Ovis aries: one gene and its partners. The protein of the gene in region 4 purifies or fractionates together with the protein of the main gene of each other region. This does not show direct contact. Links are inferred from orthologs where the notes say so. Each region holds a gene or a part of one and is shown on either strand. Other genes may lie near its edges. The genes, in order: TNFAIP3, MAP3K14, BCL10, BIRC2, IKBKG, HTRA2 and TANK.

Evidence for each region.
Region 1: the proteins of BIRC2 (region 4) and TNFAIP3 purify together in Homo sapiens (affinity purification with mass spectrometry; 5 studies listed by BioGRID and IntAct, with this or other methods). This does not show direct contact. The link is inferred for Ovis aries from reciprocal best matches to the Homo sapiens genes BIRC2 and TNFAIP3.
Region 2: the proteins of BIRC2 (region 4) and MAP3K14 purify together in Homo sapiens (affinity purification with western blotting; 3 studies listed by BioGRID and IntAct, with this or other methods). This does not show direct contact. The link is inferred for Ovis aries from reciprocal best matches to the Homo sapiens genes BIRC2 and MAP3K14.
Region 3: the proteins of BIRC2 (region 4) and BCL10 purify together in Homo sapiens (affinity purification with western blotting; 3 studies listed by BioGRID and IntAct, with this or other methods). This does not show direct contact. The link is inferred for Ovis aries from reciprocal best matches to the Homo sapiens genes BIRC2 and BCL10.
Region 5: the proteins of BIRC2 (region 4) and IKBKG purify together in Homo sapiens (affinity purification with western blotting; 6 studies listed by BioGRID and IntAct, with this or other methods). This does not show direct contact. The link is inferred for Ovis aries from reciprocal best matches to the Homo sapiens genes BIRC2 and IKBKG.
Region 6: the proteins of BIRC2 (region 4) and HTRA2 purify together in Homo sapiens (affinity purification with mass spectrometry; 4 studies listed by BioGRID and IntAct, counting the BioPlex papers as one, with this or other methods). This does not show direct contact. The link is inferred for Ovis aries from reciprocal best matches to the Homo sapiens genes BIRC2 and HTRA2.
Region 7: the proteins of BIRC2 (region 4) and TANK purify together in Homo sapiens (affinity purification with mass spectrometry; 4 studies listed by BioGRID and IntAct, with this or other methods). This does not show direct contact. The link is inferred for Ovis aries from reciprocal best matches to the Homo sapiens genes BIRC2 and TANK.

What each region holds. Positions count from the first base shown.
Region 1 is NC_056061.1:63,028,241-63,032,128, reverse strand, and holds part of TNFAIP3 (tumor necrosis factor alpha-induced protein 3), read right to left. Parts: intron 3,009-3,888; 5' UTR 2,994-3,008; coding exon 2,699-2,993; intron 1-2,698. UniProt on the Homo sapiens protein: Ubiquitin-editing enzyme that contains both ubiquitin ligase and deubiquitinase activities.
Region 2 is NC_056064.1:44,688,357-44,692,841, forward strand, and holds the start of MAP3K14 (mitogen-activated protein kinase kinase kinase 14), read right to left. Parts: upstream 3,102-4,485; 5' UTR 3,015-3,101; intron 1-3,014.
Region 3 is NC_056054.1:62,309,825-62,314,438, forward strand, and holds the start of BCL10 (B-cell lymphoma/leukemia 10), read right to left. Parts: upstream 2,889-4,614; 5' UTR 2,622-2,888; coding exon 2,565-2,621; intron 1-2,564. UniProt on the Homo sapiens protein: Plays a key role in both adaptive and innate immune signaling by bridging CARD domain-containing proteins to immune activation.
Region 4 is NC_056068.1:6,029,640-6,033,527, reverse strand, and holds part of BIRC2 (baculoviral IAP repeat-containing protein 2), read left to right. Parts: intron 1-3,539; coding exon 3,540-3,794; intron 3,795-3,888. UniProt on the Homo sapiens protein: Multi-functional protein which regulates not only caspases and apoptosis, but also modulates inflammatory signaling and immunity, mitogenic kinase signaling, and cell proliferation, as well as cell invasion and metastasis.
Region 5 is NC_056080.1:79,920,184-79,924,742, forward strand, and holds the start of IKBKG (NF-kappa-B essential modulator), read right to left. Parts: upstream 2,972-4,559; 5' UTR 2,879-2,971; intron 2,563-2,878; exon of another isoform or gene 1,758-2,562; intron 1-1,757. UniProt on the Homo sapiens protein: Regulatory subunit of the IKK core complex which phosphorylates inhibitors of NF-kappa-B thus leading to the dissociation of the inhibitor/NF-kappa-B complex and ultimately the degradation of the inhibitor.
Region 6 is NC_056056.1:96,382,797-96,387,136, reverse strand, and holds the start of HTRA2 (serine protease HTRA2, mitochondrial), read right to left. Parts: upstream 3,172-4,340; 5' UTR 3,076-3,171; coding exon 2,570-3,075; intron 2,457-2,569; coding exon 2,252-2,456; intron 2,163-2,251; coding exon 1,968-2,162; intron 1,729-1,967; coding exon 1,696-1,728; intron 1,472-1,695; coding exon 1,366-1,471; intron 1,231-1,365; coding exon 1,161-1,230; intron 555-1,160; coding exon 459-554; intron 358-458; coding exon 192-357; 3' UTR 1-191. Other genes in the region: lipid droplet-regulating VLDL assembly factor AUP1, read left to right, coding at 3,448-3,497, 3,578-3,715, 3,795-3,945, 4,145-4,329.
Region 7 is NC_056055.1:148,618,296-148,622,625, forward strand, and holds the start of TANK (TRAF family member-associated NF-kappa-B activator), read right to left. Parts: upstream 3,053-4,330; 5' UTR 1,984-3,052; coding exon 1,949-1,983; intron 1-1,948.

The DNA of each region.
Region 1 (3,888 bases), on a different chromosome or scaffold from region 4:
AATGGGATTGAGACGGAATTACCTACTAGCCTGCTCACCCCTACCTCCCATAAATGCCTTGTGTGAACCCGCCTGTTAGCAATTAGAGTCCCTTTTCAGAGTTAAAGAGTGTCTAGATGTCTACATTTGAAAATTGATTCAGTGTTTACGGCTGGCACTTTAAGAACTCTGAGCCTTTTGAGAAAAAGATAGGTCTAATTTTAATCTGTCACTTTGTTACTTTTATAGGTTAAAAATCCACAACTCATGAAATGGCATTTTTTTTTGGCCTCCAAAGAATAAATGTTTCGGAGAAATGTTTAATATTTAAAAAGTTAACTCCTTAGGCTCTTCTGGGAAGTGCATAATTGTTTTTATAAAGAAACGTTCAATTATTTCCTTACATTGCTATATGGGGCAATGAAGCTATTTGAAATTTTATCATGTCCTAATTATAGTCAACTGTAAACAACAACAACACCCTCAAACATATCCATAGCCAATATTCTTTCAGTTTACATAGTCAGAAAAACTAGCTAAATAAACATTCAAACAAATGAACCAAAAAGATCGCTCAAGCCTTGTGTCTTGGCAGAAGTGTGGCAACAATTGCAAGCTGTTGAAATTTCCCCTTTGCAAAATCTAGAGCAAAGATAAGGCTTTTTTTCTTCTTCTTGTGCTTACTTTCAGTTCTTTATTGAGATGCACCAGCATAAAATTCCCTAAGTAACATCTGGAATTCCCCAGTGCTAAATTATTTGACTAGCAATTGAGCAACAGCTATTGTACTTTTTGTTCTGGTGTGCAGACATTTAAAATGCGAAGTGCACCCTGGACTTTCCAAGTGGGTGTGGTCAGGGTGAGCTGGAATAGGGCTACTCATTATACAAGTGAAATCGCTGCAGCCAATAGACGCTGGAATTTTTCAAATGAAGTTTCAATTTTATGCCACCTACTCCCTTCCTCATTCACCACAGTCTCATATCCTCAAATGCAAACTTGTGAATCACCCCCTCCCCAAATAGACCATTGACTTTGAAGAGCCTTCCTATAGGGGGAAGACTTAAAAAAAAAAATGGTGCTAATAAAAATCAGAAAGGAAAAGCCGTTTGTTTTCCTCTTCCCCTAAATATCTTCTCTTTCTTTTCCAGATTTTTAAGGAATTTTCTTGTAAGTGGTGAAATAAAAGGACTCTGAGCCTAAAAACTCCCATCTCTCAGAAAATGATATCAAAATGCACTTGCTTTGTAGTTTTATTTGTAGCGTGAATCCTTGACTTAAATGCATATCTTTGCAAGACAAGTATTTACTTTTTATATTCTATTTTTTTCCTTAAGGAACTAGAGCAAGTTGAACCTAAAATCCCAGTTCAGTTCATATAAAATGGTTTTTTTCTTATTACCACATTTCTAATTTGGCAGAATCTCTTCTTTTCAACTCTCCCAAGTTGACTCCACCTCTTTTTGTAACAAAATGGGAGAGTTAAAACCACAAACTGTCAGGAATATAAACCCCTTGATGATGACTTAACATAATTACCTACTTCTAAGCATCTCTTGATTTAATGCCAAAACCAGTGTAAACACTAGGAAGCCTCCGTTTTCTTTCTATGTTTCTAAGAATCTATGCTTCAAAAATAAAAGCACGATGTTTAGGTGATGCACTTAACCCCCAAAACCCAAGAAAAAGTCATGTCCCTCAATCGTGCCAAGTTACCCAAGTCAAAAACAGCCAAAGTGAATGTACCAGTTCATTTAACATACTTATCATCTGGTCTCACTGTCAATGAAGATGTATTATTTTGCCCTTAGATGTATATCAATCAAAATAATTGGGATGGTTTAGGATTGTCACTGATCTAAGGACAGGAGTTTCCTGCTTTTACCTAGACAATAAGCAGTCTACTGCTCCTTGCAATAATTAACTACATTTATAAAGTAGAATTTTGTTTCTACATTTAACACTAGGCTTGAATGTTTCTGTGATGTGCATACTCTTGCTCAAAGGAAATAATTAAAAAAAAAAACAACAGTGAAGTTTAGAACAGGAAACAGCAATGAGTTGTAAACAGCCATTGGGCAGACAGTCACAGATAGCAAGAAATGCGGTACAGTACTAGGAATCCCTAAAAAGAATGAAATAAAGGACTAAAACCTGCACTAAGAACTCAGGTTTATCTGTCTAGTTAGTATCTTGGGACTGCAGGCAACAGAACCTAGGTAAGGGAGGAGCTGACAACAGCCAGTGGTTAACCCATAAAATGCCATTGATTCAAGAAGTGTAAGGCCATCATCACGAGCATTTTCTAATGACAGTGGAAAACACTATTGATTTTCACACCATGCTTTTTCTTCTGAACTTTTTAAAGCCTTTTGATATTTCCATTACTCGTGAGGGAAGGGTATTTCACAGATGATTAAATAGTCACAAGAATTAGATACAGAAGTCATACCTACATACCCTACACATACACCTAACACAGTGTCCAGAAATGCATTCTCCAAGGTTCAGTGTGCTCTGCTCTCTAACATGCACTAGAAATCACCCTTAATTCAAATACTCACAAAGCAAGCTTGCTTTCGTCACATGCCCCTCAGAGTGTCTCTATACTTCGGTACCTATAGCCTTAAGAGATTTGATTTGGGCCCGGTGCCTTTTAATAAATAGGGACGCAGCATGGTAGGAGCCACCTCAACGCCTAGACAAAAGCACATCTTACCATTTGTTTTCAGGGCCACAAGCCTCCTGACTTCTCGACACCAGTTGAGCTTCTTCTGGCTTTCCAGGGAAGCCTGGATGTTTCTGTCAATGAGAGCATTGTGGATGATCTCCCGAAACTGTGGACAAAACTGGCAAGTTCTGAACATTTCCAGAGTGTATCGGTGCATGGATTTAAAATGGTGAATGATTCCATTGGTAGGTTTAAAAATATCTGCTGGTGTTCTCTCTCGTATCTTCACAGCTTTCCGCATATTGCTCAAATACAAGGCCAGAGGAAGGAGTTGCTCAGCCATGGTGCTCTCCAATACCTGAAGAGGAGGGAAAGAAAACCCCACGCTGTTAGTCTGACTTTGATATGACTCCTATATACCTGCCTGCAGGAAACCCCACTGTCTGATCTTGTCATTACCCTGAGCAGCAGGCAAAAGATCTTAGTCACCTCTACTCCCAGGATACTAGCTGGCCCCAAAGATGAACTCACACTGGACAGTTTTAAGTTACATCATTTTTAAAGATTAGTCTAAACAAGAGAAGGAGTGGGCAATGAGGAGGAGGGGAATAACCCGTGTTTTCAGTAACGTTTGTCAGGGAGCCAAGCTTGTCTGTCAGCAACAGGTATGGTGCCTTCTAACCGACTGAAACTCCTGTCTCATCCTGATGCTGTTCTGGGGGCAAACACTGGATTTGAGGTGCCCTGAATGCTGGTTATAGGCACAATGTAGCCCTGACAAGCCAGCTCCTCTTCTAAGAGCACCACCAAGCAACCCTTCTTTTTAGTCCATGTCTTGATTTACCTCTTTCAAGCACTCCCTCCCTATACTGGAAAGACAACAAATATTTTGTGAGAAATCCTGCAATTTTATGCTGCTATGTAGGCTGTCGATTGGAGTTTTCTCTATAGTCCCCAAAAGGAACATTTATAAAGCATTTACTTATAAAATGCTATTTACATATTTACATAGAGAGTTAAACTGAATGTTTTATAACCAACAAAAAAGTCTACTCCCAGCAAGGATGCTTTCCAATTTTAAGAGCAAACAGTTAGCAGTCTCTCAGAACCTCTTCACTGAACTTTACAACATCAGAAGAAGAATTAGAATAATAACAATACTAGAATAATAAATCCTATACTTCCAAGGGCAGATAGTAAAAGCATAGAATAATTCTATGCAATGATGGAATTAACTG
Region 2 (4,485 bases), on a different chromosome or scaffold from region 4:
ATCCAATCTGTATGTAAGAGTCTGTAACTGATGGTCCCAAACTCCCAATCTACATGTCCACCCCCACCTCTGCCTTGGCCACCACGAGAAGGGGAGCCTTTAAACTAGAATACAGTGAAGGGCACACAGGGCACTGAGGAAAAGTGAGTCTTCTCTGCACGGTCCCTCAAGTAGTTAAGACAAGGCTAGAACTGAAGACCCCAAAGCCAACAGATGTTCAGTGCCTCGCTCAGCTCGACTGAAATGCTCTACTACTCCATCTGCCCTATGTTTGGCCTTCCATTTCTAATCGACTGCTTTCAACATTTCAGTCAGCACCACCCAGCAAATGCAGAGCGTTCACACGTGCATCAATTTAAAAGCTCACCTACCCCTTGAAGGTGCTCAACTCCTACTACTTGCCCTGCCCAGGGATCTCAGTGTGTGGAGGCTAGGGGGAGCAGGCTTATCCTTAAAGCTTCCCAAATCCACTGACAGGGAACTGTTCCCCCCTCCACCACCACTTTCACACTGGTGTCTTCCAAAGTGCCCATAAGGCTCAGATGTTTCCAGTTTAACTGAAATACTAAAATGGGGCAAACAGGAAGCATCAGATACAACTGCGGTAGTGACTTATTAATCATGAAAGCAGAATTTTAGTTGCATTTTAACCTTTTGCCAGGAAAAAAAAAAAAAAAAACAGTTCTCAGATGATGGAAGCCATTGATAGAAAGAGGCTCTCTATGTGTGTATCAAGCTAACTTACACTTTTAATTCAGGGCCGAACTTGGTTTAAGATTTCTTAACTACCCTCCCAGAAAGACCATCTGTTAGGTCAACCAACATGAATCTCTCAGCTCTTCATCAAGGGAGGCAGGCCGGTTAGGAAAGCTCATGTGCTGTCCCTTGAGACAGGAAAAAAAATAGGAAGCTAAAGTGACGTCGCAGGCCAAAGTGATCGGACACCCTTAAGAGGGTGCCAACAACGAGGAGAACAGCCCTGGGTCAGTCTTTACCCATCTCCCATCTCTGCAGATCTCACACCAGACCCTGGCCAGGAAGAACCGTTACCACGCACCAAACAAAAACCACAACAGTTGCCTGGAGTTGGACAACCAATCAGGGCAAGCCCGCTTCTCAACATTCAGTGATACACAAACACTCCAAGCAGATCACAATGGAGTCAGTGTTCAATAGGAGAAACAAAATGAGGAACCAAACCTCCGTCTGTGGAGGCGAAATGGCCAACCAGACATTTTTGTTTAATAGATGAGGGTTCATTTGGCAGGGTCTCTGTCTGTGGTACCGCTTGCTCCCACAAACTCTAACAGACAGCACCAGGGGCGAAAAACCCCCTTTCAGAACTACTCCTTATAACCTGAAAACAGTCAGAAGGGGACTGAAGCTTGGTGGCTTACTGCTGTCTGGTCTCACAAAAGAGCTGGAACACATACCTGGGTATAGATTTCTAAAATTAAAGTCAGAGATGAGTACTTTTATTTTGAGGCCTTCTGAGAAGTTCACTGCCACACCCTTCAAAATAAAAGAGGATGTCCTCCAGGCATCTGAAAATCTCAGAGGTCTGGCATCACTGCACCAAAGGAACGGACTTTGACATCACTTAAAAAACACCAAGAGTAAATCCAAACACTTTGTAAGTGAGACAAGCACCTGTTCTCTCATGTTAAGAGCATAAATACCACACCAAATATTTCTCCCCATGTCCTGCATCCAAGTTCCATAACGTGGTTCTGCTTTAGGGAAAGGAGCTGGGGAAAGATTCCAGTGGCCCAGATTAAAGTCGTCACCCTGAGTCTCAGCTGTGAGGCATTGGGCAAGAGCCATTTACCCGCCTCCAGTCCCTGCCAAACACACACCTGCTTCAGGTGCCTCACCTCTAAAACAGGACAATATTATTTATCTTATCACACACAAATCTGAAGGAAAAGGGTTACAGGTATGAAGACACTAAGTAAAAAAAAAAAACATCACTAATGTTAAGATACTATCTCTTTCTAATCTTTCAGAAAGACTATGTTTCTAGTCAAGGGGTTTTCAACATTTATTCCTGGAATAAACTTCAGAAGGCTATTTTGTATCAGATCCCACCTCTCACCATATAACTTCACTTGCTTTTTGAGTTCATCATCAAGGGACAGGGTTCATTGTCCTCCAGTTAAAACAATTTATATCACAGATTTCTGTCTCTTTTCTCTACTCATTCCCTAGTCCACCCTTTAGGACTGAGAGCCACATCCTAACTTCAGTTAGGAAACAAACTGCTTTTCCTGAAGTTACCCGGCACAGAGGAGGTTCCTGGGCAAATGGGGCTCTTTACACGGGGCCTCCTTCTGCCTGGTGCCTCTGGCTGCAGGCTGCCAGGACCATGATGGACTTCCAAGATGGGATATTTTATCTGAGCCGACAGAGGAAGTCCTGAGTGGAGTGGAAAGAATTATCGAGGAGTCAGGGAGAGAAAGGATGCTGCGACCAGCCAGCACTGCCCCGCTGGGTGCTAATCGGAGGCTCCATCTCTTCTCCCAGGCTCGGGGTGTGACCCCGAGAACTTCCCAGGAAAGACCTGAGGGTTTCACTGCCTGGACAGGTGGGAGGACGCAGGGACCCGGCGCGCTGGGGCGTTCGGCACCTTAAGCCCAGTGCCGAGGTAAGCCCTCCTTCTGGAGAACATCCAGGGAACCGAGCAGGACGGGCAGGCCTGGGCGGTGGAGCAGCCTGGCGCGGGGAAACGGGGGTGTCCGGGAAAGGGAAGGAAGGGGCCCTTGCGCGCGCTTCGGGGGAGCGTGTGGCCTGCGGGTGTGCAGGGTGAGGCCGGCGTGCGACCGTGGCCCTGGCGGCGTGAGGGAGGGCGCACCGGCGGCCAGCTGCCACAGCCGAGGACCGGCGCGAGTGGGTCCCCGGGCCGCGCCGCCGACCCCACCATTCCGATGCGGCGGGCCAGGCCGCAGCCCGGCCCCGGGTTGAGGAGTGACCCGTCCTCTCTGCCCCTCGCCCCGGGACTCGCTCTAGTCACCTACCGGCCGAGCGCCGATCTCCCCCACCAGCGAGTGTCGCGCTCGCCTCGCCCTCGATCTCCCGCCGCCTGTCGCGGACCGCTGCTCTCTGGGCCCACGGTCGCCCCGCCCCACCCCGGACCCCGCCCCTTCACCGCCTTCCCGGCCGCCCCCGGGGCCACGCCTCCACCCGCGGCAGCAAATTTGCCTCGCTTCGCGCCTCCTTGCTTTGGCAGCGCCTAGCTTCTGGCCCCGCCCACTCCCCAATCTTCCAATGAGACGGCGCGTCTCAGCCAGTTCCTTCCTACCGCCCCAAGCAACGATTGGTTAACGAGGCCCTGTTTCCAGAAATGGGCACTATTTCCGGACAGTGTTTATAGCAAAGAGATGGCTGGGCCGACGGATTGACAGAAGGCGGAGGCGGTCGGGGTGTTGGTGGAACCACACATGCGCGCTCGGCTTCTGGCAGTCTTACTGGTTGCGTTCCTCTGGAGGTTACGGGAAGGAAGGGCCAGTGTGCGCATGCATGGGCACTCCCCAGCCTAAGACCTGGTTACCTAGGAGACCGCGAAGCGCCGTCTCCCCAGGTTTTGGTTGTGTTTCTTCTTTGCTCCAAGCCTTGGCGGCTGAGGCAGGTGTGTTGGCAGTTGGGGGGAGAGGGGCAGGGCGGGGCGGGGCTGTGTATTTAGAAACATTTTATTAAGCACTTACTGTGAACCTGGCGCTGTAGCGTCTCTGAGGCTTAAATAGTGCCTGCCTTCGAGAAGCTTGCGGAGTTAAAGGCTTATACAGGTTACACCTGTGTGTTGAAACCCTTGTCTGGTGAGAGCGTGCGGCTGGCGTGGTGCAATCCCGTCCCACAGTCAGAGAAGTAACCTGGTGTGAGCGCTGCGTGAAGCATCTCCTCGCTGGGTTTATGGAGCCAGAAAGAAGACTAGAGCTTTACCTATGTATAAAAAGGACTTGGAGTACGAATATGCACCAAGGTGTCACCAGTGCTTCTCTGAATGGGGATGGGGCAGCGAAGGGGTTGGGGAGTTGGTTTAGGGAGGTGTGACTATTTTTTCTTTTCTAACTTTTGCTTTTCCAAATTTTCTAGTGTTTCCACAGTGAGCTTGTTTTTTATTTATAATAAAGAAAAAAATTCCACACTTAAAAAGTAGTTTGCAAAATAAAAGATACGCCGGTACCTGGGCACTCCACCCCCATCAGTGGTCTAGGGCAGGCAAGTGAGGTAAGCGGCTCTAGTGGTAGAGGTAAGCAGGCCCCATTCAAGGCCGTCTGGAGAAATAAGGATTACCCCATCTCTGGAAGCCTTGGAGCAAAGACCTGCTCAGGTTTTGTTTTTTAGTCTGTACCACGCAGCATGGGGTCTCTTAGTTACTTGACCAGGGGTCAAACCCATGCCCCCTGCATTGGAAATGCGGAGTCTTAAGCATGGGGGTGTCAGAGAAGTCGCAGGACCACTTTTTGGACAGTCGTTCATAGCTTGATG
Region 3 (4,614 bases), on a different chromosome or scaffold from region 4:
AGCACCTGTTCATCTCCTTCACAGTACTTACCATAATTTGAAATTATACATTTGTTTTCAACCCTAAGAACTCACATGTTAAAAGCACGCAAGAACCAGGCACATTTTGTTCAACTCTGTATATCCTACACTTAGCAGAGTGCCAAGTAGATAATATTTCAGATGAATGTAAAAATTCATCGTTATTTTGTGATTTGCAATCATCATTTTACATGTCTCCTCCTGCCCCAAGAAGTTGAGCTGTTCTCAAACTAGAATTTTGTCTTCGTTTTTAATTTTTAAACTGTTAGAATCAATGGCAGGATGAGCCTCACAGTAGTGTGTAGTCCATATTTATGAAACAACTAAATTCAAAGATGAGAGAAATAACTAGATGAGGTACACAGGGAGAAGCGATATAGTAAAGAAGTGGTAGCCTGGGAAAAAAAAAAAAAGAAAGAAATGGGAGTTCCCATGTGGATAAGTCCTCTATATCTGCAGATTCTGCACCCTTAGATTCAACCAAGAATGGATCAAAAATATTTGGGGAAAAAAAAAAATTTCCAGAAGTTTCAAAAAGCAAAACTTGAATTTGCTATGTGGGTCAACTGTTTACATAGCATTTACATTATACTAGGTATTATAAGTAATCTAGAGATGATTCAGAGTATATGGGCAGATGTATGTACGTGACATGCAAATATTACACCATTTTATAAAAGGGATTTGAGTATCCATGAATTTGGTATCAGCAGTCAATCCCCCATGGATACAGAAGGAGAACTGTACACTAGTCACCAAGACAGAGACTATAGTAGAAACAGCAAGTGGCTTTGGGGGAGGGATTATAAAAAATTCAATTTTAGACAAAGTGAGGAGTCTGAAGGATATAAATGTGGATTTCCAGTAGATATTTGGAAATAAGCACTTAGAGATGAGAAGGAAGGAAGCCCAAATATGTGAAAACTTCTAAGGTCACAAACCATTTTGAAAATATCATGAACACAATTTCTAAGAAAAAAGTGTGCACATACTGTTTTTCATACATGTCCTGAAACCTGTTCATGATTCCCCAAGCTTATAACTTTCTGATACAGCTGTAAATTGAAGTCATGGAGATGGAAAGTATCAATGAACAGATGGGAAAAAATTAAGGCCTGGAAGCCTCCCTTCACATCTGTACAGGTTTTATATGTATAGGTTTTTTATGTACGTTTTATATCTTTTCACTTGAACCTCTCACTACCTGTCTTATCAACTATAAAATGGGAAAGACAATTATCTGCCTTAGAGGTTGTTGGGGATATTGTCAACTGTGAGACACAGCAGGCCTAGCTCTTGAAGTTCATGTTTTTACTGGCACAAATCTTGAATAACACAACACTCTTTTGTTCTTTAGTAGTTATCAATATCCCAGTCTTAACTAGAATATAAAGCAGGGGTGACTTTTTTTTTTTTTGGTATCTTCCCAGGCCTAAGAACAGTACTTTCCATAAAATAAGTGCTCCACAACTATCTGTTGAAGGAGGAAACTAAGGCACACGTCCCAGTCATAACCAGTTTCCTTCTGCTAATTCATTATCAGAATTGCTCACAGTAATTCTGTAATTACTCACTGTAATTATGAGTACAGCATAATAAACCTTACAGGTGAGGGAAAAGCAAACAAACATTTAAAACGCTGTTGTTCTGTCTAGTTCACAAAGATGATTTTGTGTAAGTATTGCAGCGGTAAGCCAGAACACAGTTAATGTTCATGTTGTTTTTAATTTGAATATAAAGCATTTTGATGGTTGTCAGAGAAGTTTCATGTGGCAAAACAAGTTACAAAAAGCAAAGGAAAAGAGAAACAGGTCAGACCTCAATAAACTCATTCTCTACGAATAAATACTAAGATCTGTGCACTTCACCATCCAAGCATAAGACCATAATTTAGCTACTGAGTATCTCCAACGTTTACCTGTACATTAATTCTCGACTTCTTTTATTCTCCCCCCACCCCCACCCCACCCCTTCAATTTAAATACGTGGGTGTTTCCTTAGTAGGGGAATTCCAGGTAGTGCTTTCAGCTGTCGAGCTTCCCCCAACCCCTTCTGCAAAAGTTTCTCGTATTTGCTCCACTGCTTGGGATGCTTTATCTGGTCCAGCTTTTGCTCCAGGTCGAGCAGCAGCCAAGGTAGTCTGACTCAAGGGTGAACTTCAGTCTTCGATCCCTAGCAACGCTGCTCCAAAGCGCATCTGGGGTGAAATCACCAGGGGATGAGTGAAGAGTGGGCAAGAAGCTGACTGTGAAGAAACGCTCCACTGAACAAGGTTTCAAAAACTCAAGCCCTGCTTTTATTGATTTAAAACGTGGATTAACAGGTCAGCTGGGGGCAGGTCACTTCCACCAAGGTTCCTCGCATGCAGGGCTCGTCGCGGTCCTGCGGTTCTCGGACGTTCCGCTTCTCCGACCCCGGGCTCCTCCTCCAGTTCCGACTCGGACTAGGACACTGGGTTTCCGCTTTCCTCGCCCGCAGAACTGCAGCCCGCCCCCGCCCGCCCCTAGCCCGCGACGGCACCTGGGCAAGGTTGTGCTACTCACGTCCTTCTTCACTTCAGTCAGGTCCTCCTCGGTGAGGGACGGCGCGGTGGGCTCCATGGCGGAGGCGGGAGATGGCGCTTCTTCCGGGTCCAGGAGCTCCGGCTGCGCCGCCCCGCCCAGGCTGCGGGCTTCGGCCTTCGAATGAAGGGGCAGAAGGGAGGCGGAGAGGGTCGGGAGGGAGAGGGCTGCCCCGTCGAGGGCCGAAGGACTAGTAAGTCAACCTGTGCCGCTTCCGGCAGAGCCGAGGGCGAATCAGACTTACTTGTCCACAAGCGGAGTTCGGAGCCCCGGATCCTTCTCTCTCCCGGAGGCCCAGGAGCAGGCACCGCCCCTCGGGGGGCCACCGGGAGAGCCCGCCCAGTCTCTACAGCAGCCAATCAGAGCCAGCCTGCGGGACACCCTTGTCCCCGCCCCCTGCCGGAGCCTTTCAGGAGTGGCTCCACCCACAGCCTCCTGAGCGTCAGCGAGTGGCCGCGGGGTGGCCTCCCCGAAAGGAATCGTTTCCGTGGGTGGGGTACGTAGCTGCTCTGCCTGCCTGCGGTCGCCGCCTGCGCAGGCAGTTCACAGGTGGAGTCGGGTCTCTGCTTATCCGTACTTTATGGTTCCTCCCTTTTTCCCAGACCCTATCCAACGACTTCTGTTGCTGCTTGCTCCCTCGTTTTAAAACAATTTGGTCAGACACTGACTTGCGTGCGTACACATAACATACCCGAGACGCATGTACACAGCCTATCAACAGTATTACATTTATGAAAGAGAACAATCGCCTACAGTCCCAACACTTTAACACTTAATTTAACGTCTGCATTCTTTTTGGTCACTTTATTATCAACATGTTTCCTCATTTATTCATCCGTATAATGAAGGTTTTTCTGCTTCATAGCTCTCACAGGGCCTCTGTGAAAATTAAATGATGTGGTATCTGTTAGGTTCTTACAGGTAATGGGCACACAGTGCGCAGCCAATTTATCATTATCTTACACTACGAAAACATGTATTGAGTCCTTACTAATATGTTCTAGGTATCTTATTTTGTAACCATTCTACCGTTGTACTGGGGAGCCTGATGAACAAATCACTATTCTCAGAATGGTATTCCAGCTAGTGACAGAGGTGTATGTACCCAGTAAAAATCTGGGTGGATGAAAAGCTCACAACAGAGTCCTGCGCACAAGAGGGTTGTTTGGACAACATGCTAGGTAAACTGGAAATAAAGTAGATGGTACTTGAAGCTAGAGGGTAGGTAAAAATGATAAGAGGACCAAAACCAAATTTTGAACCCCAACAATTAAGGGAAGAGGAAGGAAAGGAATCAGAAAAGAACAACGTTGCCAAAGCCACACCAAGCTATATTTGATCACAACACAGGTTCTATTTTTAACATTAACATTATATCACATGTCTTTTTCCATATTGATACATAGTATTTTTTCTGATTGCTTAATCTTCCATCTGCTTGATATAATCCAATTTACTAAACCATTTGTTCTTTCATTTCTCAAACATTTACTGAATATCAGCTTATGTGCCAAAGACTGACTGCTCTAGGTGCTGGGGAAACAGCTGTGAACGAAATAGATAACAATTCCTTTCCTCCTGGAGTTTAAATTCTAGCGTATGTGTGTTTGGGGCAAGGCAAACAGACGTTCAAAAAACACTGTGTAAGTTATTTATTATGTTAGAAGATAATGAATACTAAGAGAAATTGTAAGACAGGGCAATAGGATGAGGGTGTCTGGAGCAGTAAAATTTTATTTTATTTTATTTTATTTTTTTTTCTGAAAATACTAGGTTTTATTCACCTCCCTAAGATAATCAATAACCGTACTATTAGTTAATCGGCTTCTCTTATAGTAAATAATGTTACCTGACATACAAAAACCTGTTAATCTAAATTATCAGGTGTAGTCTTACTGGAAATTCTTAACCATATACTTGTCTTGACAAGTTTTGCTTTTCGAACGATGAATTGTCTTAATGCAAGTCATTGTATTACTGTAACAAAGTAATGAAAGGCACAGCTCTTGCAAGCAAACTGAAACCCATTCAA
Region 4 (3,888 bases):
GGTTCCCGCGGCTTAAGAAATTCTAAGGCTGGATTTCCCTAGTGGTCCAGTAGTTAAGAATCAACCAGCTAATGCAGGGACACCAGTTCAATCCCTGGTCTGGGAAGATTCCACATGCTGCAGAGCAGTTAAGCCCATATGCTATAGCTACTGAGCCCGTGCGAAACCTGCACATTGCAACTAGAGAAAGCCTGTGCAGCAAACAGACCCAGTGCAACCAAAAACAAATAAATGAATAAATAAATAATCAAACATAAAGTACTCATTAAAAAAAAATCCAAGACCCACTCCCTTTCTTACCTGAAGTGCTGCTTGACTTGCTGGTAATGATTGATGTTCATGCATGCAGGCAGGCATGTAGTCCAGGCAAGGTTAGAAGTCGGTTAGAGGTATGCTCCCCTACTTCTGAAGCCTGAACAAGACTACCTTCATTTTTAATTTTCCAGTGTTCTTGGTTGGCATTTGTTTTTCTTTTAGCACTTGGATATATTAAGTCTTTCTCTCCTAGCCTGGAAGGTTTCTGCAGAGAAATGTGCTGATAGCCTTAGGGGGTTCCCTTGTATGTAATAATTCATTTTTTCCTTGCTGCTTTCAAAATGCTTTGTCTTTTTATTTTTAATATTTTGACTATAATGTGTCTTGGAATAATCTCTGGCCTGATCTTGCTTGGGGTTCTCTGTACTTGCTATTTCTGGATATCCGTATCTCTCCCAAGATTTGGGAACTGAAGTTTTAAGCTGTTATTTCTTGAAGTAAACTTTCTACCCCTTTTTTCTGTCTTCTGGGATTCCTGTGATGTTCATCTGCTTGGTGGTGCCCTGTAATTCATGTGGTCTTCCGTCACTCTTTTTTATTCTCTTTTTGTTCCTATAACTGGCTAATTTCAAATGATCTCCGTTTGGGTTCTCATTCTTTTTTTCTGCATGATCAAGTCTGTTGAATTTCTCTATTGATTTTTAGTTCTGTGCTTTTATTCTTCAGCTCCAGGTTTTCTGTTTGATTCTTTTTTCTTTCTTTTGATTAAACTTCTGATTTTGGTTTCTATTTCTTGTTTAAACTTCAGATTTTGTTCATGCATTGTTATTTTCATTTCATTTAGTTGTTTACCGTTCTCTTGAATTTTATTGAGTTTCTTTAAGGTGACTGTTGAGTTCATTGTGAGACATCATAAATCTTCATTTCTTTGAGGTCAGTCTGGATGTTTATTAGTTTCTTTTGATGGTGTTGTATGTGCCTGATTTATATATTTATATGCTATATGTAGCCTGGCCATAGTATCTGTACATTTGAGGGAGCAAACACCATTTCCAGTTTTTACTGATTGGTCTTGCCAGGTGAGGCCCTTCTTCTGTCAATTTTGATGGATACAGAGCTGTTTTGGGGTCTGTTGCTGGGACCATAGTCAGGAATTCAAGCACCTGGGTACAAGCCAGTCTTCTCAAAATCGCTCTCCTTGGTTTTGGAATACACAAGGCTTTCAGAATCTTATATCTCAATCACAGAGCCTCTCACAAAGGCACTTTGGTCCTTGGATGGATTCCAAATTGTTGTTGAGTAGGGATCCAGATGGGAGACATCTTAATTAGCAATCTTGCTATCATTACTCTCTTGTATCCTTCTTAAGGTATCGTCCTCACTTGGCTTCCTGGACACCACATTGTTGATTTTCCCATTACCCTGGTTGATCATGAACAATTTCCTTTGGTGGGTACTCCTTTTTCAAACCTCTTAAGTGATGGAGTGCCCCTCAACATTCAGCCCAAAGGTAGTTCTCCATTTCCTGAGCTACAGACTAGCATGTTCAACCACCTGTTTAAATCTCTGCTTGTTTATAATGGATTTCTCAAGAGTTATAGGACCAGAGCAAACATTTTCTCCCTGCCCTTCGTACCTCAGATGTGCTTCTTCTCTGGTCTTCCCTGCTCAGTTAATGGTCTCCACTTGCTGAGGTTGACTTAAGTTAGACATCATCCCTGATTCCTCCTTTTACTTTGTATATTTAAGCTATTAAAAGTCCTTTCATCTCTATCTTTATAATATGTCCCAAATCTTACCACTTCTCTTCATCGTCACCACTGTTAACCTGATTCAAGCTTCTATCACCTTTTGTCATAAAATCCTAACAGGTCTCCCTGATTCCATTTTACCTCACTAAAGTTTATCACAGAGCTGCCAGAATCATTTTTTGGAAAAAACAAATCAGGTTTTATCAGTCCTAGAATATTCTAGCAGACTTAAAATATAAACTCCTCACAAGGCTTTACATGATCTAGGCCTCACCCTACTCTCTGACCTGCTCTCTGACTCTGCACTGCCTTACTATTTCTTGAATAATATCAAGCTTTCCTCTTGACTTGAGGCTTTTATACTCGCTGTTCTCTTTGCCTGAAAGACTTCAGATATTCTCACACTCATTCCTTATCATAGAGTTGTTTGCTCTGCTGTTACCCATTCAGACAGGGTTCCACATACATTTGAGCAAGGGAGCACACACACAGTGTATATTTACGTTTATTATACAACAGTTTTCCAGCAGATGGCAGTAAAGTATCTTGAAGAATGATGTCTTTTTGTAATTTTCACAAAAGTGCCACATTGGCTGGCATAGACCCTGTTATCAGAAAATGCCTCTCTGATCACCCTGAATGTCCTCCTGCTGCTTCCTAGTTTGTCTTAACACCTTATTCTGCTTTATTTTCTTCAGAATATGTGTTGCTATCTGAAGTCATTATTTTAATTCTTTAATCACATTTTTTAAAATCACGTTTTTAGATGTATTCTGTATGAATTAGTCTTCCACTTTACTGTTCTTCCCACTTGACTGTTCTTCCCATCTTTGTTTTTTCTGCTTCATATATCCACCTCTTCAGGTCCTGTCTATCCTTCAGGTTCAGACTCTTGTGTGATCTTTTTCATTAAGTCTTTGTTTATTTCTCCCACTTTCCTAGCTGAATTGAGATTATTCTCACTTCTAAATTTGTGTAGCATCTCAGTTTCCAAAAATAAACTCTGTACAACGGAGTCATTTGAGGAATTTTTAGGATATTCTTATGTTCCATCCCTAAAGACTCTTAACTAAGTAGGTCTAAGGTGTGGGAATTGGTATTTTTTTAGAGTACAGCCTGTTACTGGGCTTCCTTGGTGGCTCAGTGGTAAAGAACCTGCCTGCCAATGCAGGAGTCATGGGTTCGATCCCTGGGTTGGGAATATCCCCTGGAGAAGGAAATGGCAGCCCTCTCCAGTATTTTTGCCTGGGAATTCCTATGGGCAGAGGAGCTTGGTGGGCTATCGTCCATGGGGTCACAGAAGAGTCAGACACAACTTAGCAACTGAACAACAATAAGAGCAGCCTGTAACTGCACTCTCATTTGATCCTTATCAGGTTCAGACTTTGGTTGGAGTTATAGGTAACGTGCATACAGCTCATCTCCATTACCAGGATATAATCACCCCTAAAGTAAAGATTATATCAGAGTCATTATTGTTCCCTATATTTTTATATTTATGGAATTTACCCAAATATATATCTTTTAAAATAGTTGTTCAGTTTGGACCTGGAGAAAGTTCTTCAGACGATGCAGTCATGATGAATACACCTGTGGTTAAAGCTGCCTTGGAAATGGGCTTTAGTAGAAGCCTGGTAAAACGGACAGTTCAGAGTAAAATCCTAACAACTGGAGAGAATTACAAAACAGTTAATGATATTGTGTCAGCACTTCTCAATGCTGAAGATGAGAAAAGAGAAGAAGAGGAGGAGGAAGAGAAGGAAAGACAAACTGAAGAAACAGCATCAGGTATTTGGGAATGTTAGTCCCCTGGATTATTTCCACTGAGGTCTCATAGGATTGTCTCACGTGTTGCAGCACAGTGAGTATCCCTGTCTCTCCA
Region 5 (4,559 bases), on a different chromosome or scaffold from region 4:
AGACACACACTTGACCCTTCTTGAAACCCCATCTCTTTGCCCCGACTTCCAAGGCCTCCCGAGGAGCTGAGACCAGCCCCATTGTCCAGCCAGTGGAACTGCCACTTTGCTGTGATGAGAAAGGCCAGAGACTAGAAGCAAAGGCAGAAACAGAGCGTGCTGACCATACATGTTGGGAGGGGGTGGAACACGAGAGGGTGGGTGGGTCCTTGGAGAGCCATGACCGGCCCCCCCAACTAAAAGCACTTTCTCCATGTGCCACGTGGAAATAAGATCAACCCAGTGGCAAGACATGAGAAACGGCTGGAACGCTGTCTACGTTTCATCTCAAAGGGAAACTCTTCATCCTGGACGGGACCAAGAATCCGCTCCCCAGGATTACGAGCATCTCTGGTGGTGACTTACTGTATAAACCTGAAGCGAGAGTTCTGCCAAGCGAGTGAGCTCTTGACAGGGCAGGCATGGTCTCTCTGTCCCTTCCACACCCCTCTCCCCTCAGCTCTAGAGGAATTCAGCTCTTCATTCATGTATCATAACAAGCTACCGCCCTTTGCAGAACGTGTTTCTTGCCAGTTGTGTGATTCTGGTCAAAACTTGGAAAAAGAGCCAGAATGCAGGGCAGGGGGCTTTGCGCGCGAGGAGGGCTGTGCTGCTGGGAAGGAAGGGAAGGCTGCCCGAAACTCTCCCCTGACCGTCTTATCACCCCAAGACTGTAGGATGCCCAGGAGGGGCACACAGGGGGCAGCTTAGCCCCCACCCTGGCCCCAGCCTCATCCCTCGAGGCACCAGAAAGCTTAACACCTCGGAGTTGGTCCAAGAAATAGGTTGACAGAGAAAGTTACTCAGGATTATTTTTCCTCCTTCCCCCATCCCCATCCCAGCCTGTCCCAAGACATTCCAGCAGAGGGTCCCCAGCCTTAGTAAATTGCCTATGACCCTAGATCCTCAACTCCGATTAAACCACCTCAGTGAGAGCATCCAAGTGTGTTCTGTGGCCTGGGCCAAGTGTCTCCTCCTCTCTCAACCCCACAGTCTCCACTTGGCAATGGAAGTCTTTGGAGCACCAAGGGGCCCCAGGGTTCTGCTGAGCTGATTTGGTGACTCCTCCCTGCCTTCACGTGTGGTGGCCTTGGCATTGGGCAACATTGTTTCTTTGCAACCCGAGTAGTTCCCCTTTGCTCTTCTCTGTTCCAAGAGCAATCAGCAGAGGCTTCTAGGGCAGAAAGAGGAAGTGCCAGCTGCAGCCAGCAGGGCGGGGGGTGGGGGAGTACCAGGGCCTCTGAAGTAGAGCCTGTTTTTTCTGTTGTTTTGTTTCTCCCCTTCCTGCTGGGATATGTGGGAGGCAGGCAGGCGGCACAAACCTGTTACTCTGGGAGACCAAGGAGTTCACAGCACAGCAGGCACCTGCCCTGAGGCCCCCCCACCCCCCCACTGTGGGAGCCGTGCCTGGGGGCTGGGCCTGAAGGTGAGTGCATGTGACAGCAAACACTGCCAGGCCTTCACACCCCAGGCCTTGGGAGGCGCCAAGGTCCGCAGAGCCAGGGCCTCGGAGCGGAGCCTGCGACTCCAAAAAGGATGAGCTGTCTTCCGCCCCTCTCCTCCCTGCCGGCTTTGCCCAACCCCGCACCCACGCGCCCAGGTTCCGCCCCGTCCGAAGGCCAGCCTGAGGAGTTACCTGATGGCCTTGTAGCTGCAGCCGCTCCCTACTCCCTCCTCCAGACTCCCACCCTCAGTAGGAGGGCAGTGGACGTACTTACAGGACCTGGTCTGGAGGCCTCTGGAACCCAGGAACCCCGTTTCTCCTTCCAGACCAGTGTTGAGAGAGGAACCCTGGGCCTGCCAGGCTGGAGCCACTCTAACCCCCAATGGAAACAGAGCGATTGAGATGAGAGAAAGATCAGGCCGAGGAGCCCCCTCGGGCAGAAGTGGCTCAGTGCAGGTTCTGCAGGGCGGTCTTTGCCTTTGGGCCTCAGTTTCCCCATCTGGGCCATGGGCTCGATGAGTGCTCCAGGGCCCAGCCCAGAGACGGGGTCCTGCCAGGGCTGAGCTGGAGGACCCGGGCCCTCTCTCCTCAGGGGGTGCTTCTGGGCCGCCTCACCTCCTGGGGCGATAAGATTCCTGCTGTGTCACGGTGACTCTGGCGCTCCCCCAAAGGGCTGATGAGTCATGAGCCCCGCGGCCCAGGAGGGAGGCCAGGCAGATCTTGCCTCGAGGGGGATAGAGCCCACCCCTGCCCGGCCTCCCAACTTCTACTGTCACGTGCTCCACCCTAACACCCTTCGAGACCAAGGGCTCATCAAACTGGAGACTTGAGATAAGATCAGGGTGCTGGCAGGCCAGATGCAGGTGGCTGGAAATCTGCAGCAGGCCCTGCTCCTGCTGCTAAGTCACCACGTGGCCCCAGACTCCTCCAGACCCCACGAGCACTGTGCTCTCAGCCCATGTTACCTCCAGCAGTGCAACCAGGCCCAGGCTGCTGGGTAGGGGGGCCTCCTAGGCCTCTGTGCCCCCACCCCCGTCTGGGTCCTACCTCACTCCTCCCTTGGGTGAGTGACTCAGGCCGCTGGTGGCAGGGCTGAGCTGAACAAGGCGAGCAGGTTCCACCCCTTGCTAATCCCAAATGGACCGGTGAGGGCAGTCGGGTGTAGGGCACCGTGACTCAGCAGACAGGACACTAACCCACTGGAATTTGACCGGAAGCAAACATTCCTCTGGGCCAGGAGGTGCCCGCCGACAGGGGACTGATGGCTTCTCCTGCTGGAGCCCCGCAACAGGAGGGGTCAGCGGAAAGCGGGCACTGCTGGGCACTGGGAGGAGAGGGGCCACAGGGGTTGCAGCTGGGCTCCAGGGAGACCCCAGCCAGGGATCAGTGACTGACCTTGAGGCGCTGTTATCTCCAGGCTTCCCAGGGAAGGTGGCCGGCAGGAGGGGGCCCTGCTCCAGAGCCTTCAGCAATCAGTTCTAAGTGGCTGGCAGACAGGGGGCGGGGGCTGCAACACAGGGCACCCTGGTTTGGGAACCACCCACTGGAGCACTCCAGGTTCCGCTAGAGCCCGGAGGTGGCGGAGAGACACTGGCCCGTGTGGGCTGGGCACTAGCCAAGACCTGGGCCGGAGCAGACTTGTCCACGTGCAGATGTTGGCTCAGCCCAGGAGACAGAGGGTGAAGCCACAAATGGGGATTGAGCATGCTAGCCTCAAAAGTGGCCCCCATCGCCCCCAGCCAGGGGAGGACTCACCCACCTGGTAGCTCCCCAACTACCGTCCTCATGGCCCGTCTAGGGGTGCAGATTGCAATCGGTTCTGGTCCTGCGGCTCCTCTCTGCAACAGTCCACAGATGTGACTGCGTCCAGTGCTGACATGACTCTTAAAGGGTCATTTTGCCCTGAAGACTCAGGTCCTCACCCCTGGAGGTGATTTTCCTGCCCGGGGCGAGTCTAGCAGCTCTGCCCAGCAGCCCTCACTGATGACAGGGCAGGGGGCATAAAAGGGCACCTGCTCTTCACCCAGGCCATGCCCAGGCTCACCACCTCTTCCACCCAGAGTGGAGAATTCCTTTGTCAGGTCACCAAAAGCAAGCAGGTAGCCGTGGCTATGGCAGCTAAACCGGCCTGGAGAGAAGGGACTGGGTGACTTCGTGGGATGACAATGTTGTTGCTCACAGTTGCTGTCTTCACACACTTGCCATTATCTTGGAAAGTTTCACATGGTCAACAGCAAGCACCGCCCGCCGTCTGCTCAGTTGTTCTTTTCAGTCTTTTTATTTGTAGGCAACATTCGTACACATCGAAAGACATCTTCTCTGTCCAATCGGTTCTGACCTTTATAACCAGAGGCAACGTTTCCAACTCCCCAGCCAGTCCACCTCCTGCTGTGGACTCTCACTTCTGTCACTGTGGCTGCTTTGCCTTTTCTAAAGCTTCCCTTAAATGAACTCAGGGTGTTGAGCCTTGTGTGTCCAGCATTCTGGTTCTGAGAATTGCTTGTGTTGAGTAGGCCACTGGCTCATCCCTTTTTTCTTGGTTTGTAATCTTTGTTCTTGCCCCCTGCGTGGCTTGCAGGATCTTAGTTCCCCTACCAGGGATCAAACCCGCAAACCCCTGTGGTGGAGTCCTAACTACTGGACCACCAGGGAATCCCCCTGGCTCATCCCTTGGTGTTGCTGAGTAGGTGTCCCACTGTGTAGATATCCAGCTTGTCCATCCCCTGTTGATGGCCTTTCACTGTGTCCCAGCTCAGGGCTGTTGGGAATTATGGCTGCTGTGAACCCTGGTGCAAGTGTTTCCTCCACACCACCTCCAACACCAGATGGGGTTAGTTTTTTCAGATTACAACCTACTGGTGAAGGTCAAGCTGGATCTCATTGTGGTCTAATTTGTATTTTTGTGACAACTGGTCATCTTGACCACTTTCCTGTGTGTTAAGTAACCATTGATTTTTCTTGTTGTGAAGTATGTGGTCAAGCCTTTACCAATCTTGAATTCTTTTCTTGTTTTGTTGTAGAGTGGTTTTTTTTTCTTTTTGATTGACCTTTTTAACCACGTTCAAGTGTACTAACC
Region 6 (4,340 bases), on a different chromosome or scaffold from region 4:
TTGTTAGGTATAATTTTATTTTATATAAAAAGTGTTTTTGTGATTCTTCAGAGCCCAGGAAGTGGTGGTGGTAGTCGGAGGGACCTGCCCCCAACTGGTTCAGTTAATCCTCTGTCCAGGCGCCCTCAGAGCCCAAGCCACGAAACCACGGTTGAAATCCGAGCAGGAGCCTCCTACTCTTGCTGATCCATTCATTCTGTGACTTCAGGGGTCACATATAAGGTCAGTGTTTCCTGTCCTCGCCGGATCCGCACTGCCAGTTGGGATTGGGTTCGAACAGCTTCATAAATATCTTCAGCATTTTGTACCAGCTGCTCCCCAATGGCCAAGATCACATCACCAGGTCGTAGACCAGCCCTATGGCAAAGGATAGAGAGATAAAGGAAGAACTAGATGGCCCACTTCAAGGGCGCATACACCCCACCCATCTCCACCTCCTAACGCAGCCTCTCCCTCACCGGTGAGCAGGGGAGTCCAGGATGACCTTATGGATGAGCACACCATGCTGAACATCAGGGAAGCTTGGTTCTCGAAGCTGTAGTTCAGCAAGGATGCTGAAAGGACACAGATCACTCTGTTGGTCACAGGGCACTCTCCCCATTCGGGGTTTGCCTCACATCTTTCATCAGCACACCGACAAGCGTGTGAACAGGACGTGCACTAGATCCTCTTGATACAAAAACAATTCACTTTTTGCCTTCTAGCAGTTAGGAAGCAGAATGTGTATATAAAAGGTAACATTCCAAATGACACACAGGGTTAAATCAATAGCACTAATGTCATTCTAGAATCCTAAAAGCAGCTATAACTTAGGAAGTGCTATAACTTTAGCTTAACCTAGAAGAATCAATCTGATATTAAACTATATAAAACAAGAACAACATAAAAACACGGGATTAGGAAATCAAGTTGGCTGGAACAGAAAATACTCATAGGGAAGCCACATCTGGAAGGTTGGGTATTTATTGTAAATCTAAGCAATAACAGGATGGAAGGTATGCAAAATAGAGTGAGGTGAGAAAAATCAAGATAATGAGAGAGGAATGAGGCAACTCATCTTAGATAAAAACAGAACTAAGAACGAAGCTCAACAGAACTGCCAGGTACCCACCACTGGTTACACTGATGGCCCTACGTGTCACTACCCCTAAAGCTCATACCTGGGAGTCAAGGTCAGCATCATCACCCCAATGTAGCGGCGCTGGGACCCACTGACTCCAAACCAGGAATCTGTGTTAGAAGGACAAATGAGCCCCACCCAGGTATATCCTTACTTCCCCTCCTCCTCCCAATTGACCCCTCTTCCAGCAAACCCTCCCCACCCCTGCCACTAAAGAAACCCGTTTCCCCAAAAGCCAGGCTTACTCTTCTTTTCTCCACGATGCAGAAACTCTCGAAGGCGATCAGAAGGGATGGCAAAGGAGATTCCAGATGTGACCTTCATGGTATTCACCCCAATCACCTCCCCATCCTGTTGGGACACAGCCCACTATTCTCTAGCCCAGACAAATAATAGGAGATGGGGGTACCTGAGCAAGAGTGGGAGGGAGTTTTGGGGGAGATCTAGTTGGATTCTGGGAGACAGCCAACAAGAAACTGCTCAGAAACTTGACCAAACACCAGTGAATTAGGGGAAACCCACCTCTTCCCATACTGACCTGAGATAGGGATTCTTGGAAAGGATGTCACACTCACCAGGTTAACCAGGGGACCTCCAGAGTTTCCAAACTGCAGGACAAGGAGAAAATATGGCAGAGATCCAGGGACTCTATGCCTCGGGGCACAATCAGGATGTAGACACTTTCTCCAAATCCTCTCCTTTCCCAGCCCGTGAAGGAGTGGCCACATTTTTTGCAACCCAATCCCAGTATATAGGCTCATCCACCATCTATCACAACTGGTGCCTGTACCACACACCCCTCCCCTCTCTCCCAACCTAGTCTCATTTTTCTTATATCAGGACGCACATCAATAGCTGCATCAGTCTGGATATACTCCACATTGGTTTGGGGAAGGCCCAGATCTTTGGCTGGACGCTGAACAGAGCTGACAATGCCGGAGGTGATTGTGTTCTGCAGTGCAAACGGGCTTCCCATAGCAACAACAAACTCCCCTTGCCGGACATCAGCTGAGCGTCCCAGGCGCAGCGTAGGGAGAGGCTCCTAAGGGAGAATGGGTACAAGAGACCTGGCATCTGGAGATGTGAACAAATTCACAGTCCCAAGCAGACATGGCCTGCCCCGACCCCCACCTTGGTCTGAATCCTCAGCGTGGCGATGTCTGCCACGGGATCCACAGCTGTGACCACGGCCTCATACGTGTCGCCGCTAGGCAGCCTTACACGGACTCGGCGCCGATCAGCCACCACATGGGCATTGGTAACGATGAGTCCATCGGCAGCCACCACGAATCCTGAGCCATTCGAGATAGGGACTTCGCGGCCCGAAAAAGGGTGCCTGGAAAAAGGGGGGCGGGGGGACAGTACAGATGTGAGGAGGCTCAGACCCATCCTTCTCGCCCGCCCTCTAGCCCGCGGCTTCGGTGCCTTAGTGTTTACCCCCACCATTACCGGCCCAAGATCTCGATATAAACCACGGCAGGGGCCGTCTTCTCCACCACGTCCGCGATGAAGTTGTACTGGCTCCGGGGAGAGGTGGGCGGCGAGCCAAGGACCGAGGCGAACACAGCCGGGGGACCCCGCCCTCCGCCCCAAAACAACAACAGCACCGCCCCTCCAGCGCCCAGCGCCACCGCTAGCCACACGCGCGGACGGGTTCCGGGAGTTCCGGAGCCTTCCGGAGTCCGGGGATCTGGGGTCCCAGCGATCAGCCGTGCTCGGAGATCCGAAGTCCAGGACCTCAGGCATGTCCGTGGTTCAGGGACCCCCACAGACAACCGGGCCCTGAAACTGGGGGTCCCATAAGTCACTCGGGTCCGAGGGTCAGGAGTTCCTGACGTCAGCAGGGCCCGGAGGTCAGGGGTCAACAGGGGTCCCTTTCCCCAGAGACCCCCACCCAAAGCCCGCCATCCCGGGAGGCTCCAGCCAGCACCCCGCCCCGCCCTCAGTGCAGCCATCAGCTCCGCCTCGGCGGCTTCCTCGCCCGCCCAGCGCAGAGGCGGCGCCCTAGACGCGACCAGGAGGGCAGCTGGACGCTGAGGACGCCGGTACCTGAAGTCTCCAGAAGTGCACGCTGGGACCCAGGATTCCGGGAGGCCAACTCCGCCCCCGCCCCGCGAATGCCGGGAATTGTGGTCCCCGCGGGACGCGAGTTATGAGGTGGCCCACGGGTCCGCGAGGCATGATGGGACCGCTAGCCCTTCCGGGGCGCCTCAGAATTTCAGGTCCCGGCACCCTGGGCGGATGCCCGAAGACTCCGCCTTCCCAAGAGCCCCTGCGGCGGGGCGCAAAGATGGCGGCAGCGGCCAGACAATCCTAAAGCAGCGGCAATGGAGCCTCCGTCGTCGCCGGGGCCGGAGCGGCTCTTTGATTCGCACCGGTAAGAACCCCGGCGGGAAGAGACCGACTTCCGCGTCCACTTGGCCTTCGGCGCCCAATCACCCCGCCTCTCGCCCCCAGGCTCCCGGGTGACGGCTTCCTGCTCCTCGCGCTACTACTCTACGCTCCAGTCGGGTTCTGCCTCCTCGTCCTGCGCCTGTTTCTTGGGATCCACGTCTTCCTGGTCAGCTGCGCGCTACCAGACAGTGTCTTTCGCAGGTTCCGACCCGGGCGCTCGGGGAGGGCTGGGGCTGGGCCTGGCCCAAGGCCAGGTAGTCACCACTGCCTGCGTTCGCAGGTTCGTGGTACGGACCATGTGTGCAGTGCTGGGGCTCGTGGCCCGGCAGGAGGACTCTGGACTGCGGGATCACCGTGTCAGGGTCCTCATTTCCAACCACGTGACACCTTTCGACCACAACATAGTCAACCTGCTCACCAGCTGTAGCACCGTGAGTTAGGGAGGAAGCCGAGAGTGCCACGGAGTGGCTCCCTGGGGCCCAGCTCAAGGCACCCCTCTCCGTGTTCGGGTTTCCCATGGGGACCACAAGATACTGACCCTTACCCCGACCTTGCTTTTCTACCCATATGTCAATTTTTCTCACTTCACAGCATTCTTTTCTTCTTGCTTTCTCTCCTTCCGGTGCCCAGCCTCTACTCAATAGTCCCCCAAGCTTTGTGTGCTGGTCTCGGGGCTTTATGGAGATGGATGGTCAAGGCGAGTTGGTGGAGTCACTCAAGAGATTCTGTGCTTCAACAAGGCTTCCCCCTACCCCTCTGCTACTATTTCCCGAGGAAGAGGCCACCAATGGCCGGGAGGGGCTCCTGCGCTTCAGGTAGGTGAGCA
Region 7 (4,330 bases), on a different chromosome or scaffold from region 4:
GAAAGACTGAAGGCGGGAGGAGAAGGGGATGACAGAGGGTTGGATGATATTACCGACTCACTGGACATGAATTTGAGCAAGCCCTCGGAGTTGGTGATGGACAGGGAGGCCTGGCATGCTGCAGTCCATGGGGTCACAAAGAGTCAGACACAACTGAGCAACTGAACTAATGGCCTATATGGGAAAACAAACAAACAAACAAAGTGGATATATGTACATATACTTTGCTGTACATCTGAAATTAACACATTATAAATCAACTATACTCCAATAAAAATTAAAAACAACAACAACAACAAAGGTAGAAATCTACTAAAACAATTTGCTATTCTAAAAGGTCAAGGAAGAAAACCACAAGATTGATCACATTAGATGCCAAAATGCCATATATGACAAAACTCAACTTCCACTCCTGATAAAAATGTTTAGTACTAAAGTAGCAATGAAAATACATCAACAAGAAATATATACACCAAATGAAAACTCAACATCTACTGTTCAAAACTGCTCTCAAAGTGCTAGCCAATGCGAAAGAAAAAACAAAAAAACCCCAACTTCAGACACAATCCAAAATCTATTCCCTGCAAAAATCCCAGTAGCTAGAAATATTAGACACTTCTTTGATAAATAAAATTATTTGAAATTTATTATAAAATTCATATTCAATGATGACACAATAAAAATAACTGCAAATGAATAAATATGATAAGGATGGCCAGAATCACTGTTATTATATATCACTGTTTTGGAGAAACTATAAATTTATAAACAAAAGAAAGATTTAAATATAAAGAAGGAGTTAAGATTATATTCAGATGACTATTTTCCTAGAAAATTCAAGAGACAATTTATTAAAACCAGTAATTTTAGAAAGTTGGCCAGATATATAAATCATCTACATGTCAGTCACAAAATATTAGTGGGTAGTTAAACCCCTCAAGGGCTTCTCTGGTGACTCAGTGGTAAAGAATCTGCCTTCAAAGCAGGAGAATCAGGTTCATTCCCTGGGTTAGAAAGATCTCTTTCCAAGATAAGGAAATGGCAACCCATTTCAGCTTTCTTGCCTGGGAAATCCCATGGACAGAGGAGCCTGGTGGGTTACAGTCCATGAGGTCACAAATAGTTGGACATGACTGAGCAACTATACAGCAACAACAACAAAACTCCCCAAAGAAACCTGTTTTAATGAAATATACATAGTTTACTTTAAATTTTACCTGAGAGAGAACACAATCACCAAGGATATTTGAAGAGGGACTTGCTTTATGAATGACTACAAAATGCCTAATCAAAGAGAGATTGGTAATTGTATAGGAAGAAGCAAATAGAACAAAGGAACACAAGAATCCAAAAAAGACTCATGTAGGCCTGGAAATTTACTCTATTAAGGTAGTTTTTCTAGCCAGTTGGGAATGAATTGATTTCAGCAAATGATTTCAGCAAAAATGGCTAAATCCCTATCTTATACAATATTCAAAAATAATTTTCATACATTTAAATGAGTAAAGCATAACTGTAAGAATATTTAATGAACAATATAGGAAAATATTTTAATAATTTTTTGGTGAGGACCATCTTCTTAAGTGAAAACCTGGGCATTTTAACCCAAAGACTGATAGGTCTTGAAAATATTCGCCATATAAATCACAAAGGGTTAATATATCTGTATCCTAATGAAATACAGATTAAATAATTGTGAAGAACAAGGGCAAAATACATAGATAGGCCATATTAAGAGATGTTTAACTACATTTGGAACACCCAGGCAAAGAAATCCCATGCTGACATTAAGGTAAAGCAGAGCTATATATGGTAAGATTTCCACTATATATATTCTATCTGAAAAACCAAATTATAGGACTGTATGCACATACAATCTTATTTTCATAAGAAAGCGAAATAACACGTTTATGTACACATAAGAGAGATGTGCAAGGCGCTGGAGTACCTGTGGCTGGGGAGAGGGCCGTGAAGGAGTTTCATTTTCTGCTTAAAACATGACTGTTAGCACTTTAGGGTTCTCGGTTCTCTTCCCCTCCCCAATGAGAGGGACAAAACATTTTTTCAGCAGACTACAGAGCTCGCTTCTCTACTCCCCCTCTCTGAAGTGTGTATTCCCGTCGTGGTAGGGAAACAGATCACGCTATTTTCCTCTACTTTCGGGTCACTTCATGACACTTTATATAGCAAAGGCTGCTCTACTTCTCCCTGCTACGGCATAGTAAGAGACACAGAGACTCTTTGGTTTGAGTATCTTTCCCCTCCTTGCTTCACTTCGTGACGAGCACAGCTTGTTACACGTGTAACTCGTCACCAGCCAGTTTACACCACGCTAGGGATTCCGCCTAACGCCCGGTTCCCACTGGGGGCAGGGTTTGCTTCTGCTCTTTCTGCCTCAGCCATCCAGTTTCTCCTTGACCCTCGGGGAGGTTACCCAACTTCTCAGTGACAAGGCTATGATGACACCCCGCAGGAAAGCTGAGAGAGAAACTGTGCAATAACCTTGGGGGAAAAACAACAGAAAGAACCTAGGAAGTTTTTGAAAGAGTAACAAAGATAGTATTAACTTCTGGAAGGCAGCCTCCGGTCCTCAAGAGGGGTTGGGACCTCCAGGTGGGGTCTACTGCTCACTCTGACATCACAGGCCTGCCTCCCCGGTTGGCAGGCCAAGAGATCAAGTCACAGAGAGCGGCCGACGCGGAGTCGGGCAGGATCCCTCCCCGGCAGCCGTCGCAGCAGGGGCCGTCGTTGCTGCGCAGACGCCATGGGCCCGGAAAGCCCCTCCCGGTCCGCTCCGGGACAGGGACCCAGGTGATTTCCTTCGCACAAAGTCCCTCCCCACCATGAGAACTGGTTGTCACTGCAGCTCCTCGGCTTCTCTCCCTGTGGCGCCCATACGGCCAGCGCATCCCTCTTGCTCACACACACAAGTTCTCCGTCGCCGTGCCCGATGCATTCGGACACTGCAACTCGCTAGCGAAGTTTCTTACTCACAGCTCAGGGTTTCCGCACCGGTCTCTCCAGTCTCAAGTCGCCCGGCGCCCAGCCGAGTGACTCCAACCGGAAGTTGTTTTCCGTTCCAGTTCAGAGGGCAGCGCCTGCGCGTGGATCCCTTAACCCTTCACCCTCCACCCCTCCAAGCCAGACCGTGCCCCTGCCGCCACTTCCCTCTAACCTCACCCAAGCCCCGCCCAGCCCTGCCCCGCCCGGCGCAGCCCTGCCCGGACTCAAGGGGGACAACTACAGACCCGGAAAGGCACTCGAAATCAAGTTTAAAGGCCAGCGGAGGGTCTCTTGTTAAAGATATAGATTCACCCTTAGAGATTCCCAGAGTTAAGAGCTCAGCTAAGTCTCTTCAGTCTTGTCCAACTCTTTGAGACTTAGTGGATGGTAGCCCATCAAGCTTCTCAGTCCATGGGATTCTCCAGGCAAGAATACTGGGGTGGGTTGCCATGCCCTTCTCCAAGAGTTAAGAGCAACTGGGGTGAATTCCAAGAGTCCTCATTTTCAGCAGATGTTCATGTGAATGTGATTAGGGTTATTAAGCTCCACATGCTGAGAAGAACCCCCCCCACACACACACACACACAAATATACACACAACACACACCCATTTGGGTTTTCCCCAACTAGCAACACCTATCATTAAAAGTACTTGCTAAAGTTGAGTGATTGCTACATGGAAGTAGATCTCTATTAAAAAAATTTCCCCTAACTTAGGATTCTCCATTATTCCATTTCCTACCCATGCTTGAATATTTTCCAAGATGAAAAGTTTAGACAGATACCTCAAGAAAAGTTTTAGCTCGGATATCTACTATCTCAGGCAAGTTGCTTAATCTAATGAATCTTGATTTTCTAAAATCTGACAGCAAAGGACAATGATAACCTACTTCACTGGATGGATGCTTGCAGGATCAACTGATAATGTAAGCCAAAAAAAAAAAACAAAAACCAAATATGGTAAAATTCAAAATGCTCTGCAAATGAGAGGGGCTGTCTGGAGTCAGTCATGTCATCCTGGCTCCTTCCCACCATCAAGCACATTCCTATTCCTTTTAGGAGAAGAGCAGTCAAATCCACAGCATATACATATATGGACTCTCCCTGAGAACACTGAAGGTTGGGACTCTCCACATTGACTGAAGTATAACTGTATTTGGCTGAATGCATGTTAACACTTCCAAAAGCTTCCATGGTGATGACCTACTATTTATTTAATTAAAACAATATTTTAAAGAACTGTCACTATTTTTGCATGTATCTGACAAGAGTTGTGGTGTTGAAAAAGACTTTTATCACCAAGCACAAGCATATTAAGGGTGTTGAA